Nothobranchius furzeri: one gene and its partners. The protein of the gene in region 1 interacts with the protein of each later gene in a pairwise test. Links are inferred from orthologs where the notes say so. Each region holds a gene or a part of one and is shown in the gene's direction. Other genes may lie near its edges.

Region 1 (2,971 bases):
TGCTTTCAGCACTGCATAAAAGACGTGACTGGAATAATCCCCCCCCCCCCCCCCCCATCAATGAATGTTGACGTGTCCGTCTGATTTGTTTTCTCCGTCAACCCTGATGATGAAACCTGGGAATGTTGAGCTCTGCTAACAGTTACACCTGTAGAAACTAATGAAGGCTAAGGAGACATTTCCACAGTTGGGTGTTAAAAAGACAAACGCACAACGAGGAGATCAGTTTCACTTTTACTAACGAACAGCAGGGTATTCTAAAAGCAAGCCAAAACTTCTTGGTATCCCTTTAAGTGCAGTTTCTACTCAGCAGAGGGTTTATAGTGCTGTCCGATGTGAAGTTGGTCAAGTTTATGGCTCAAGAACCACTGAAACCATTTTGAAAGCAATAGCTTCAAGTGATAAAAGCTCTTTAGGGTTGCTTTAATGCTGCTTTTGGTGAAATATGATCTACTGATGAGAATGTTGTTAGGAAAGAGCCAAGTTTTCTCTGTGCATCTGTGGGGTCAGTGAATGTAGCTGGAGGTGGAGAACATCACCACCTCTAGGACACATCAGCCTCTTTAGGAAGGACCTTTGAGAACTTGCCTTTTTTATTGTCTGTGATGCAGGGGAGCAGTGTGAGTTTCTTTGCAACTCTTCAGTCGAACTTCCAGCACGTGATGCGGTATGAAAGGCCTGAGCTGCAGCAGAAAGCTCTAAGCGTTATTCCTCACCAGCAGCTGCGTTCTGCTGCTCAACACAAGCTGAAGGAGCTGAAAGATGCCGACTCAGGTGAAGTGGCCTCACTCAGTCTGTTCACCTGCCATAAAACATACTCGAGTTCACCTTCAGTTATGAGACTTGAACCTGACTGGCTCTGCTGTCGTGTTTGCAGACTGTAAACTTGGGATAGAAGACTTCCTGGTGCTGGAGTTGCTCAGGTGGTTCAAGCATGATTTCTTCTCCTGGGTGGATCAGTTACCCTGCAGCCAGTGTGAAGGTCCCACCCAGCACGCCAGCCCCCTCAGCCCTAGTGCTGAGGACCTTTGCTGGGGAGCGCAGCGAGTAGAGAACCACTACTGTCAGAACTGCCTGCTCTCCACCAGATTCCCCAGGTGTGTGTGATGTCTGTGCTAACTTTTACAGCTATGACTGATTTATTTTATTTGGTGTCATTTGAGAGTTGCTTAATTTGAGTTTGTGCTTTCACTATTATCAGGTATAACAACCCAGAGAAGCTTTTGGAAACCAGGAGGGGGCGCTGTGGGGAGTGGGCCAACTGTTTCACCCTGTGCTGCAGAGCCCTTGGGCTTGAGGCCAGATTTGTTTGGGACAGCACCGGTAGGTCACATGACCCGAGACAACCCTGCGGGGGGTGTCTCGTCAGTGTCGTGTACTCATCACAGCAGGGGTTTCCTGTGTGAACGCTGCTTTGGCACACAGGCCTGGTCTGACACACCTTTGATTTGTCAGAAAAATGCAGTCGTGTTATTAAACTGCTGTTTACCACACGTATGGTGCATATGGAGGCAGACGGACTCGTTCTTTGTGTTTTCAGACCACGTGTGGACGGAGGTTTACTCCGTGTCTCAGCGCCGCTGGCTGCACTGTGACTCGTGTGAGAATGCCTGTGATAAACCACTGCTGTACGAGGTCGGCTGGGGGAAGAAACTGGCCTATGTTCTGGCTTTCTCCAAGGATCAGGTCAGTGAGACGTCAGCATCGCTGCTGCTTCTATGTAGTGTCTATTAGTAGGCTTTTCTCTTAGTGATGTAGAATGTGACAGCAAGGCAGTTTACACCAGTTCAGTCATTTCTTATAGTCATGCGGATGAGATTACGACGTGAATGTGTCTGTGCTGCAGGTGGTTGATGTCACATGGAGGTATTCCTGCAAACACGCTGAGGTTTTGTCAAGAAGAACTAGCGTTCAGGAGGCTTGGCTGCTGCACACCATTAATGGGCTTAATGTCGGAGTAAGTTTGAACCCGTTTTAACCCAAGTGATGGTATAAAGGCCACTTTGGCGTTGACGCAAGACTGTTCTGTTCTGATATTGAAGCGACAGCAGTCCCTGACAGCAGACCAGAAGAAGAAGCTGACAGAGAGGTTGCTTGTGGAGCTGGTGGAGTTCATTTCCCCGAAGAAACCCAAACCCGGAGAACTGGGGGGGCGTAACTCTGGTTCTTTGGCCTGGCGGCTAGCGCGTGGGGAAACCAAAACACCTGAGCGGGAGACGCAGGTACACATTTCAGTAGACGTATACCGTTCACCGGGTTGCATCCATGTTGAGTGGAAGGTCAAATATCCGTTTTCTTGTGGAGATGCAGACTTGGACAATTCTGAATTAATTGGGTTAAGTGATGTTTTTTCCATAGAAATGTTTTGCCAGCCATTTCTATCACAGCACCACACAGACACAAGCTATCACTGTGCACACTTCTAACCTGCATGAAGGCAATTCACAAGACTGGATTTATCTTTTCAGCCCAGTCTTCTCGGTGCATGGCTGCTTTCATCAATCCTTCACACACAGCAGAGACTTTTCATTCGAACAACTTAAAACTTGTAAAACAGACCACAGAAGCAGGTCTGTGTTGAGTTTGCCCACCACTGGTGTTTTATCTACTAGGGCTGTCGCGGTTGAGGAATTCCCCCTGCGGTGATTCAGGGTGGCTTAATATTGCGGTGTGCGATATTATTGCAGCACTTTTTTATTGCAGTACTATCTAAACATAATGTTTACACATTTAAAAAGGTTAAAAATTGCCGTGCCTTCTTTTATAACACTTTACTGAATGCAGATCAAAGGGCAGTAACAACACAGATCGCAGAAAGTCCGACTGAACTTAAAAACAACAAAATTGAGAAGGTTAAACTTTTAAATGTAAATTTGGCTGCAGCATCTAACAAATAAGAAACAAGTCCCCATGTTGTTTAGTTGTTTTAAATCAAGCATAAAAAATTACATGTACCGGGCGCACGCGCGCC
Region 2 (3,654 bases), on another chromosome or scaffold:
CGCTCTGCGCTCCTCTGACCAAGGCCTGCTCGCTGTCCCTCGGTCTAGGTGTCGTACCCGTGGGGACCGGGCTTTCTCAGTCCTAGCACCGTCACTCTGGAACCAGTTGCCACCCTCAGTTAGGCTGTCCCCTTCTCTGCCAGTCTTTAAGAATCACCTAAAAACACACCTCCTCCCCTTGGCGTTTCCAGAACATGTTTGATTTTGGCCCTCTTTTATGTTGAATCCATTCCACAGTTTTCATTGGGACACTCAATCCATCCACTCAATCCAATTGTGTTTCACACATTTGTATTTTACCGGAATGTTTCATCTATCTTGTAATTTCCATTTTGTATTTTGTAATTTGTATTTTGTAATTTGAATTTCTTTTATTGTTGATTTATTCAGTATAATTACTTACAACTGTACCATGTTCAGCGCTTTGGGCTTCCTGACAGGGTTGCGGAAGGCGCTTTATAAATAAAGCTTTGATTGATTGATTGATTGAGTAATTCACTCTTTTAATCAATTAACCGATTTATTATATACTATACTTTACTAATGGGGTGCCATAGTAGAGAACATGTTAAGAATGTAATTCCTACATTCACAGAGTGTTAGTTTAATTTTTCACTTTTAAAGTGAGTAGTTACCAGAAATGTGTCTTTTAACGAGCTCCAACAGAAAAAGCTAATAGTGACAAGGTTTGGAAAGAAAAGGTACTAAGTGTGTGTGTGTGTGTGTGTGTGTGTGTGTGTGTGTGTGTGTGTGTGTGTGTGTGTGTGTGTGTGTGTGTTTGCTTGCTTGCTTGCTTGCTTGCTTGCGTGTGCGTGCGTGTGCGTGCGTGTGTTTCATGGCCTCTGCAGTGACAGGCTCATCGTATGACACCATGGTGAACGAGATGATGCTAATGGGCTATGAGAGAGAGCAGGTGGTGGCAGCAATGAGAGCGAGCTTTAACAACCCAGACAGAGCCATGGAGTACCTGCTCTCGGTAAGAACAGCTCCGATAAAGTCTCCTTAAAAGGTCACACAGCTGTGTGACCTTTGGGAAAGATGGAGCTAATTGTTCCTTCTCATAATCACAGACACCTTCACCTAAACGCACCTTGTTAAACACTTTGACTTAATCTTGGTATGCATACTTTATGGTAGATTTAAAGCGGCAACAACATCTTCGAGCTACTTGTTTATTCTGCGTGACATTTAAAACCAGCATGAGTCGTGACTCCTCCCACAGGGTGTTCCGGGCAGAGATCAGGGCCCTGCAACAGGACCCGACGCTGCTGCTGGTTCACCTCCAGCAAGTGGAGCTCCAGCCAGCAGAGCTCCAGCTGCACCTGCTGGCAGCATTAGTGGCCCTGCCAGCACTGGCTCTTCACCAAGTGCTGCAGGAGGTAAACAGGCTTTCTGTTGCCTAAAACACACAGTAGCCTTCATTAATAAACGTTTATCTGCATAATAATCTCTCTTTCACTCGCCGCTTGACACTTTGACTCACACTAACAGGTAACCCCTTGAGCTTCCTCAGAAATCAGCCTCAGTTCCACGTCATGCGACAACTGATTCAGCAGAACGCCGCCTTGCTTCCAGCTCTGCTGCAGGAGATCGGCAGGGAAAACCCAGAGCTGCTGCAGGTAAAGGACCGACAGATTTCGTCCTGCCTGAACGATATAAAATCATTTAAATACACTTGGAGTTTATTTACTAAATCACTTTTACCACCTGTTACCTGTCTGACGCTCTTTTTTTTTATTTTTATTTTTAGAAAACAGATATTTTCCTTCTTTTAAAGGGAATACTTCTGAAAACGTAGCTTCAGCCGAGGTTCAGAGTTGATCCAGCTGAAACTAAACAGTCTCTAAATCGTCTGAGCTGCGATGCTGAAATCACACACCTGCTGACACTTCCTGTCCCACGATGAAAGCAGATGTTTAAAATCTGTGTTTGCAAATACACACAGAGCACATATTTGCCATGGAGCACACAAAACCACACCGTGTGGTTTAAGATGTCATATCCCCGAAGACTAGTGCAACACTGGCCACATATTCATGATTCGCCTTATTGCTTTACAGTATAAACGTGTGCTGTGTCATTGTTGTAGGACGAATGCAACGAGTGCTCAGATAGATCCTGAGATGATAGAACCTGCAAAATACGGGTGTGATGAAGAAAATGTGCAATTAAAGGCCGGAGATTTAACCACGCTTACAAAGGCTGATCAACTCTCTCTCTCTCTCTCTCTCTCTCTCTCTCTCTCTCTCTCTCTCACTCACTCACTCACTCACTCACTCACTCACTCACACACACACACACACACACACACACACACACACACACACACACACACACACACACACAGAGTTGTAGATCAGGGGCAACACGGTTGCCCAGGGACACTAGATTTAAACTGACAGCCTCTGCTGATGCTAGCCTTCTCTTCCACCTGAGCCGCAGCCTCATCCCTTTCAGAGACCGTTGGAGAGCAGCAACGACACAAACACATGAATTAAAATTAGTTGAGCTCCTGAGCAGCTGAACTGAAATGTTTTGCTGTTGCTCATCCGTTGCGAGCTCGTTGGTCCAGGTTTGATCAGACCTTTAGAGCAACTGGACACGTTGTTGCCGGGTGGACTCCAGAGTTCCAAGAGCAGCACAAAGTTATCAGTACGCAACTTAAAAAAACAATGCAACAATGGCAGACGTGGTCATCGTGTTGAGCATTCTGATTAGCCTGTGTCTTTTTGTCAGACCTTGGGCCTCATTTATCAAACGTTCGTAGAAATGTTCCTGTATTCAATCCTACGAATGGAATTTAGAATGTTGGTACGAACAGCCCAAATCTGGTTTATGAAACATGTAGTGGCCTCTCGTACGCATGTTCCTCCGCAGTCAGCTGTTGATTAATCCCACTTGTGCGTACTCAGGTGCTCGTGCCTGTTGACAGCCATTTGCATCGAGAAACGCCCTCAATGAACCATATTTGGTCACGCTACGTCCTCAGCACATGAGGGGATTCCTTGGTTTTTTTTCCCAGAAAAGATCGAGATCGAAACGCTGGCTGCCGAAGCACAAAAGAACCAAACAAGTTACAGAGGTTACGCGGTCGGGACAGAGGAGAGGTTCCTGTCAGAAATAAATTTACAAAATGGATTTAATCAGTCGTAGAGTAACAGGTTCTCGTTTACATTTAAGGGGTCGTTCTGTTTGGATTTAGTTTTATTTGGAAATGTTGTCTGAGAGCGCAGCCTCTGAGCTGTCATTCAGTCTGGTTACCTTGGCAACGTGGCGTGTTTGATCGGGGAGCAGAGGAGGTTCTGGGGGATTCTCATAGTTGTAAAATAAAATATGAACTGTGATCGGCTTTGTGAGGTTTGTCTGTAGCGCCACAGAGGGTCCCAAATCCGAGCATTTGAGATCAGAGCACTCACGGAGAACACGTTCCCTCCAGGGAGCACGCTCTGTTAAATCCTCCAGTGACACAGATCAGCCATGATGATGTCAGATTCCCGTTGGTCACAGGTGTCTTTTATTGATTTTAGTACCAATTATGCAAAAAAGCTGTTTTTCCACTGACAAAATTACATCCTGGATAAATGAAATTTGTGGATGAGAACCATCTGGATGACTGAGACATTCGGTGTTGTGCTTCCCCGTTCCACCACTAGA
Region 3 (4,129 bases), on another chromosome or scaffold:
TGGTACCCCACAGGAAAGGAACAGAGGATGACACAAGATCAACAAGGCTAAAGCAAAAAATAAACCATCTAAACCGCTCCACTACTCCAGACATTGATCATTTCAGTCCATTGTGTCAAAAGCTGCTTTAAGAGCTAGTAGTGCAAAACTCATAGAATCGCCAACATTTGTGTTTGTGTAAATATTAATTTGCCCCAAAAATATTTACATCATAACATTTGTGCAAAATCAATATTAGGTTTAGCTCCAAAACAATATTTAACTGGGATCTAAATATTAATTTTGGAAGATAAATATTTAATTAGAAGCTAAAAAATTAGTTTGTAAACTAAACATTTAGTTCCAAATTGAATATTTAGTTAGTAAATTAAATAATGATTTTACAAACTAAATATTTAGATCTGGCCTAAGTATTTAGTTTGTAAAACTAAATATTTTGCTTGCTAACTAAATGTTTTGTTAGAAACTTTTAACATTTATAAATGCATGAATAAAATGTTGAAAATTTAATTTTGAAATTTTACTCCCATTTTTTCCTTATGATAGGCTATGTAACCATAAATACTGCTGTTAAATTATGAATTTACAAGTGGCCCCCCATAAACTACATCATCTGGAGACCTTCAGCTGATGGTGGTTCAGTCACAGGCTCATTTAATCTTGAGAAAGTTTTTACAAGCTTTACTAAAAAAGATCACCAAAAGCAGTATGGTTTCAAATAAGACTCTGTGATGGGGAGAATGTAACTTGGAAATCTCAGAAAAATATTTTTTCTGGATTTCTAGGACTATGAAGCTGACACATTGTTCTTTAAAATGGGAAGTGGCAGCAGTAATTTGCTATTTGTTCCTAAAAAATTAAAGTATCATATACACTGTGTATAGATTACTACAGCATTTTTAAGCTGTAAAGTATATTTTAAAGCATTCTCGAATAATCATGACAAATTTTTAGAGGAACGAATATTTGGGGAGCATCGGTATCACCCGAAACATTTCATGGCGCACTGCTTTTACCCAACCAATCAAATTGGAGCGTGGACAAATTGTTTTTCCCTGAGTTAGGGTTTACAGGAAAATTTTATCTTAAACTCTTTAAAAATCATGGCTGAGTAATTTTTAGATACAACTTCACATTCAAATCAATTGTCTTTTAACCCATTAACATTATTTTACATTGTTGTTATAAAGTTTGGTTTGACTGTTCTGATGCCAATGCTGCACCCTGAAAGACAATACACTGGGTTTAGATTTTCTCTAGCGGAAAGACCGAGGAACGAACAGTTTTTCCACTCGAGTTCTCGTCAGGAAGTCTTCTGTCGTTTGTTAAAATTTACTACTTGGCCACTGGTAACCTCAAAATGACCGTATTTTGTGTTCTTGTGGGAAGAAGTCTCGAATCCTTCAGTTTCGCTAGCTTAGCGGCTTTGTTGCTGCTTTGTTAACTGTTGGATTTTAGCTAAAGACAATGAAGCTATTATAACTCTGAAGTCGTTAAAGTGTTTGTTGATCATCTAACAAAGAATCACCGCTTTATTATGGACCGTTTTCTATCTGCTAGCATTAGTTACATTCCTTTTAAATAATGATCGAGTAAAGCGAAAGCGCAGTTTCATTTGCTGAGTCAGACATCTGCATTGTACACTCACGGAGCATTTTTCCCATGAATTAAAACAAGCAGCTCATTAGCGCTCTGACACTAAATACAAACAGCTGAATTAACTGATTCAACGTTTCACATCTGATGCAGCATCAAATAATGTTTAATTACTATCTAATACTAAACGTAGCTTCTTTAAAACCAGTTTACCCTGAAAAGCTGGTTTGTGTGATTAATAATTCTGCTTTTTAGTTTACAGCCTTTAGGACAGTCATGGCAGATGAAAACACACTCTTTTGTGGTAATTGGTAAGTATGACTATATCTTATGATCATTAATGTATTTCATAGCCTATATGTATGTTTGTTTTAAATCAAATCTGTTGTTGTTTTGTTTAGTAAGAGAGACATTCCTGAGGCAAATTTTACCACCCATGAGATTCACTGTCGAAGAAACATCGCCCTCTGTGACGTGTGCCAGGAGCCGGTGCCTCACTCAGATCTTCTGGAGCACAAGATTCAAGAGCACACTCGGGTACATCTGAACAAAACATCTAAAACCTTCACGTTATAGAATATAATAATATCATAATGTTAATGATGTAACCAATTTACATTAATATCACAATATACATCGACATGTGACATGTTTGTATTTATTACTGAAGGTCTTAACCTTAAAAAAAAACAAGGATTTAACAAAAATGTTTTCTTTGTGTCTTTTTCTGAGAGTCACTAATAGTCCTGATAGGGTAGCCTTGTATACATTTACAGTATGGGGAATTTTATCTGAGATTTTTTTTACTTCCCAAGTAATTTTCTGCGTGAATTACCCATCAAGCCAACAGTAGCTTAATTTCCAATGAAAACCACTAATTAGAAAGCAACATCATACTGAAACTGTATGATTATTACTAGGGGGTAAGACCGATATATCGGGCCAATATTTACAGTTTTTTTTAATGTATTGGCATCGGCCGATATTTGTCCTAAGTAGAGCCGATTCAAAGTTAGGCGCATCCTCGGGCAGCTCGTGGTGTTGCAAAATTTAATTTAAATGTGTTTTTACGTTCACTAAAAACATCTGCATAATAAATGCTCTAAGTTAACTTTATTTTTAACACTGAGCAGTGCACAAAGTTAAGATTGAGCACTTAGTTAAATTCAGAGTTCATAAACCGGTTCAGCTTCAGAAGGTTTGTGCATCAACTGATGTTGTTAGGAACATTTTAGTATGAAAATAAGGTGGATATCTTCTGGATATCAGCCATGAAAATCGGCAGTACATATTGGCCATCGGCTGACCGTGTCCTACATATCGGCATTGGTTATAGAACAAACAATATTGGTCAACCTCTAGTTTGTTACTTCAAACATTTTTTTAATCTTTTGCTTCAGATTATGTGCAAGTGTGGATTGAAGATTGAGAAGAATTTTCTAGATGTACATCAGGTACAGTGAAGATTAATGTCCTACATACCATATTGCTACTCAGCCAAAGGGTTGTGGAAACTGTGGAAAATGTTATTTAACTGCAGGAAGAAGCTGTAAAACACTGGCTTCTTCTATTTAACCTTCATATTTCTATTGTCTGTCTGTTTTGCAGAGCTCTGAGTGTCTTCAGCGGCTCGTCCCATGCCAGTACTGCGAACTGGAGCTTGTTTTCGGTCAGTCCAAAGAGCACGAGGATTATTGTGGAGCGCGCACCGAGCCTTGCCCACAATGCAATTGCAACGTGATGCTACGAGAACAAACCGTGCACTCAGTCATATGTGGAAGCCTCACACCGCCCCAAGAGAGAAACAACAGCAAGACGAGTTGCAGTCAAGCAGAGCAACCACCTTCAGATGCGTGGCTTGAAACACACTCCATCCGAAATCTCCTGAGAACCCAAGACAGAGGTTTTAAAAATAATAACATCAGTGCAGCAGAACAGCAATGCTTTCCTCAACCATTTGAACCCCCAGGTTTCAACCCTTCAAGAGGATTTCTGCCCTCTGGAGACGGGAAGAATGCTTCTCAGAAAACATCATTTAGCCGCTGTGAGTGTGTTTTAATTCAAGAGTATCAGTCGGCATGTAAACTTGTATTTTCTGAAATGTTTGTGTGATTATATTTTTTAGTCTTGGAGCAGAGTGATTTTCTGAGTGGAAGCAGCAGAGCATGGCTACCAAACGCATGCACAGAGGACGAGGATTCATCAGGTCTCGACTACATGTTGGCTCTCAGCCTGCAGTGTGATGGAGACTCAGTGGCTGGAGGCGCTGAGGGGAACGTGTGGCGTGATCCCTGGGACCAAAAGATCGAGAAGTCCAACACATCTGTAAAATCTTCACTTTCTGAGTCCAACTACAACCATCCAGTCTTCAGTGGAGGGACAAACACGAGTGCTGTCCAGGCCAGCAGTCAGACAGGTAAAATAGTGTAGATCACAGCACATCACGTCACCCTGCTGTCGGTTTATCTGTTAAAACTGTTTTCCCAGACACCATGCTGCCTTGTGAGTTCTGTGGCAAGCTGTTTCCTGAAGA

What was found.
Region 2: the proteins of ngly1 (region 1) and rad23b interact in binary tests that used the Homo sapiens proteins (3 or more experiments, as listed by UniProt). The two-hybrid records come from large-scale screens. The link is inferred for Nothobranchius furzeri from reciprocal best matches to the Homo sapiens genes NGLY1 and RAD23B.
Region 3: the proteins of ngly1 (region 1) and trafd1 interact in binary tests that used the Homo sapiens proteins (3 or more experiments, as listed by UniProt). The two-hybrid records come from large-scale screens. The link is inferred for Nothobranchius furzeri from reciprocal best matches to the Homo sapiens genes NGLY1 and TRAFD1.

The regions. Positions count from the first base shown.
Region 1 is NC_091751.1:24,890,704-24,893,674, forward strand, and holds part of ngly1 (peptide-N(4)-(N-acetyl-beta-glucosaminyl)asparagine amidase), read left to right. Parts: intron 1-611; coding exon 612-774; intron 775-877; coding exon 878-1,097; intron 1,098-1,201; coding exon 1,202-1,323; intron 1,324-1,540; coding exon 1,541-1,686; intron 1,687-1,846; coding exon 1,847-1,957; intron 1,958-2,042; coding exon 2,043-2,222; intron 2,223-2,971. UniProt on the Homo sapiens protein: Specifically deglycosylates the denatured form of N-linked glycoproteins in the cytoplasm and assists their proteasome-mediated degradation. Cleaves the beta-aspartyl-glucosamine (GlcNAc) of the glycan and the amide side chain of Asn, converting Asn to Asp.
Region 2 is NC_091746.1:57,624,964-57,628,617, forward strand, and holds part of rad23b (UV excision repair protein RAD23 homolog B), read left to right. Parts: intron 1-848; coding exon 849-976; intron 977-1,222; coding exon 1,223-1,379; intron 1,380-1,491; coding exon 1,492-1,619; intron 1,620-3,654. UniProt on the Homo sapiens protein: Multiubiquitin chain receptor involved in modulation of proteasomal degradation. Binds to polyubiquitin chains.
Region 3 is NC_091757.1:46,521,766-46,525,894, reverse strand, and holds the start of trafd1 (TRAF-type zinc finger domain-containing protein 1), read left to right. Parts: upstream 1-1,199; 5' UTR 1,200-1,208; coding exon 1,209-1,349; intron 1,350-1,851; coding exon 1,852-1,907; intron 1,908-1,997; coding exon 1,998-2,133; intron 2,134-2,996; coding exon 2,997-3,050; intron 3,051-3,204; coding exon 3,205-3,640; intron 3,641-3,721; coding exon 3,722-4,012; intron 4,013-4,083; coding exon 4,084-4,129. UniProt on the Homo sapiens protein: Negative feedback regulator that controls excessive innate immune responses. Regulates both Toll-like receptor 4 (TLR4) and DDX58/RIG1-like helicases (RLH) pathways.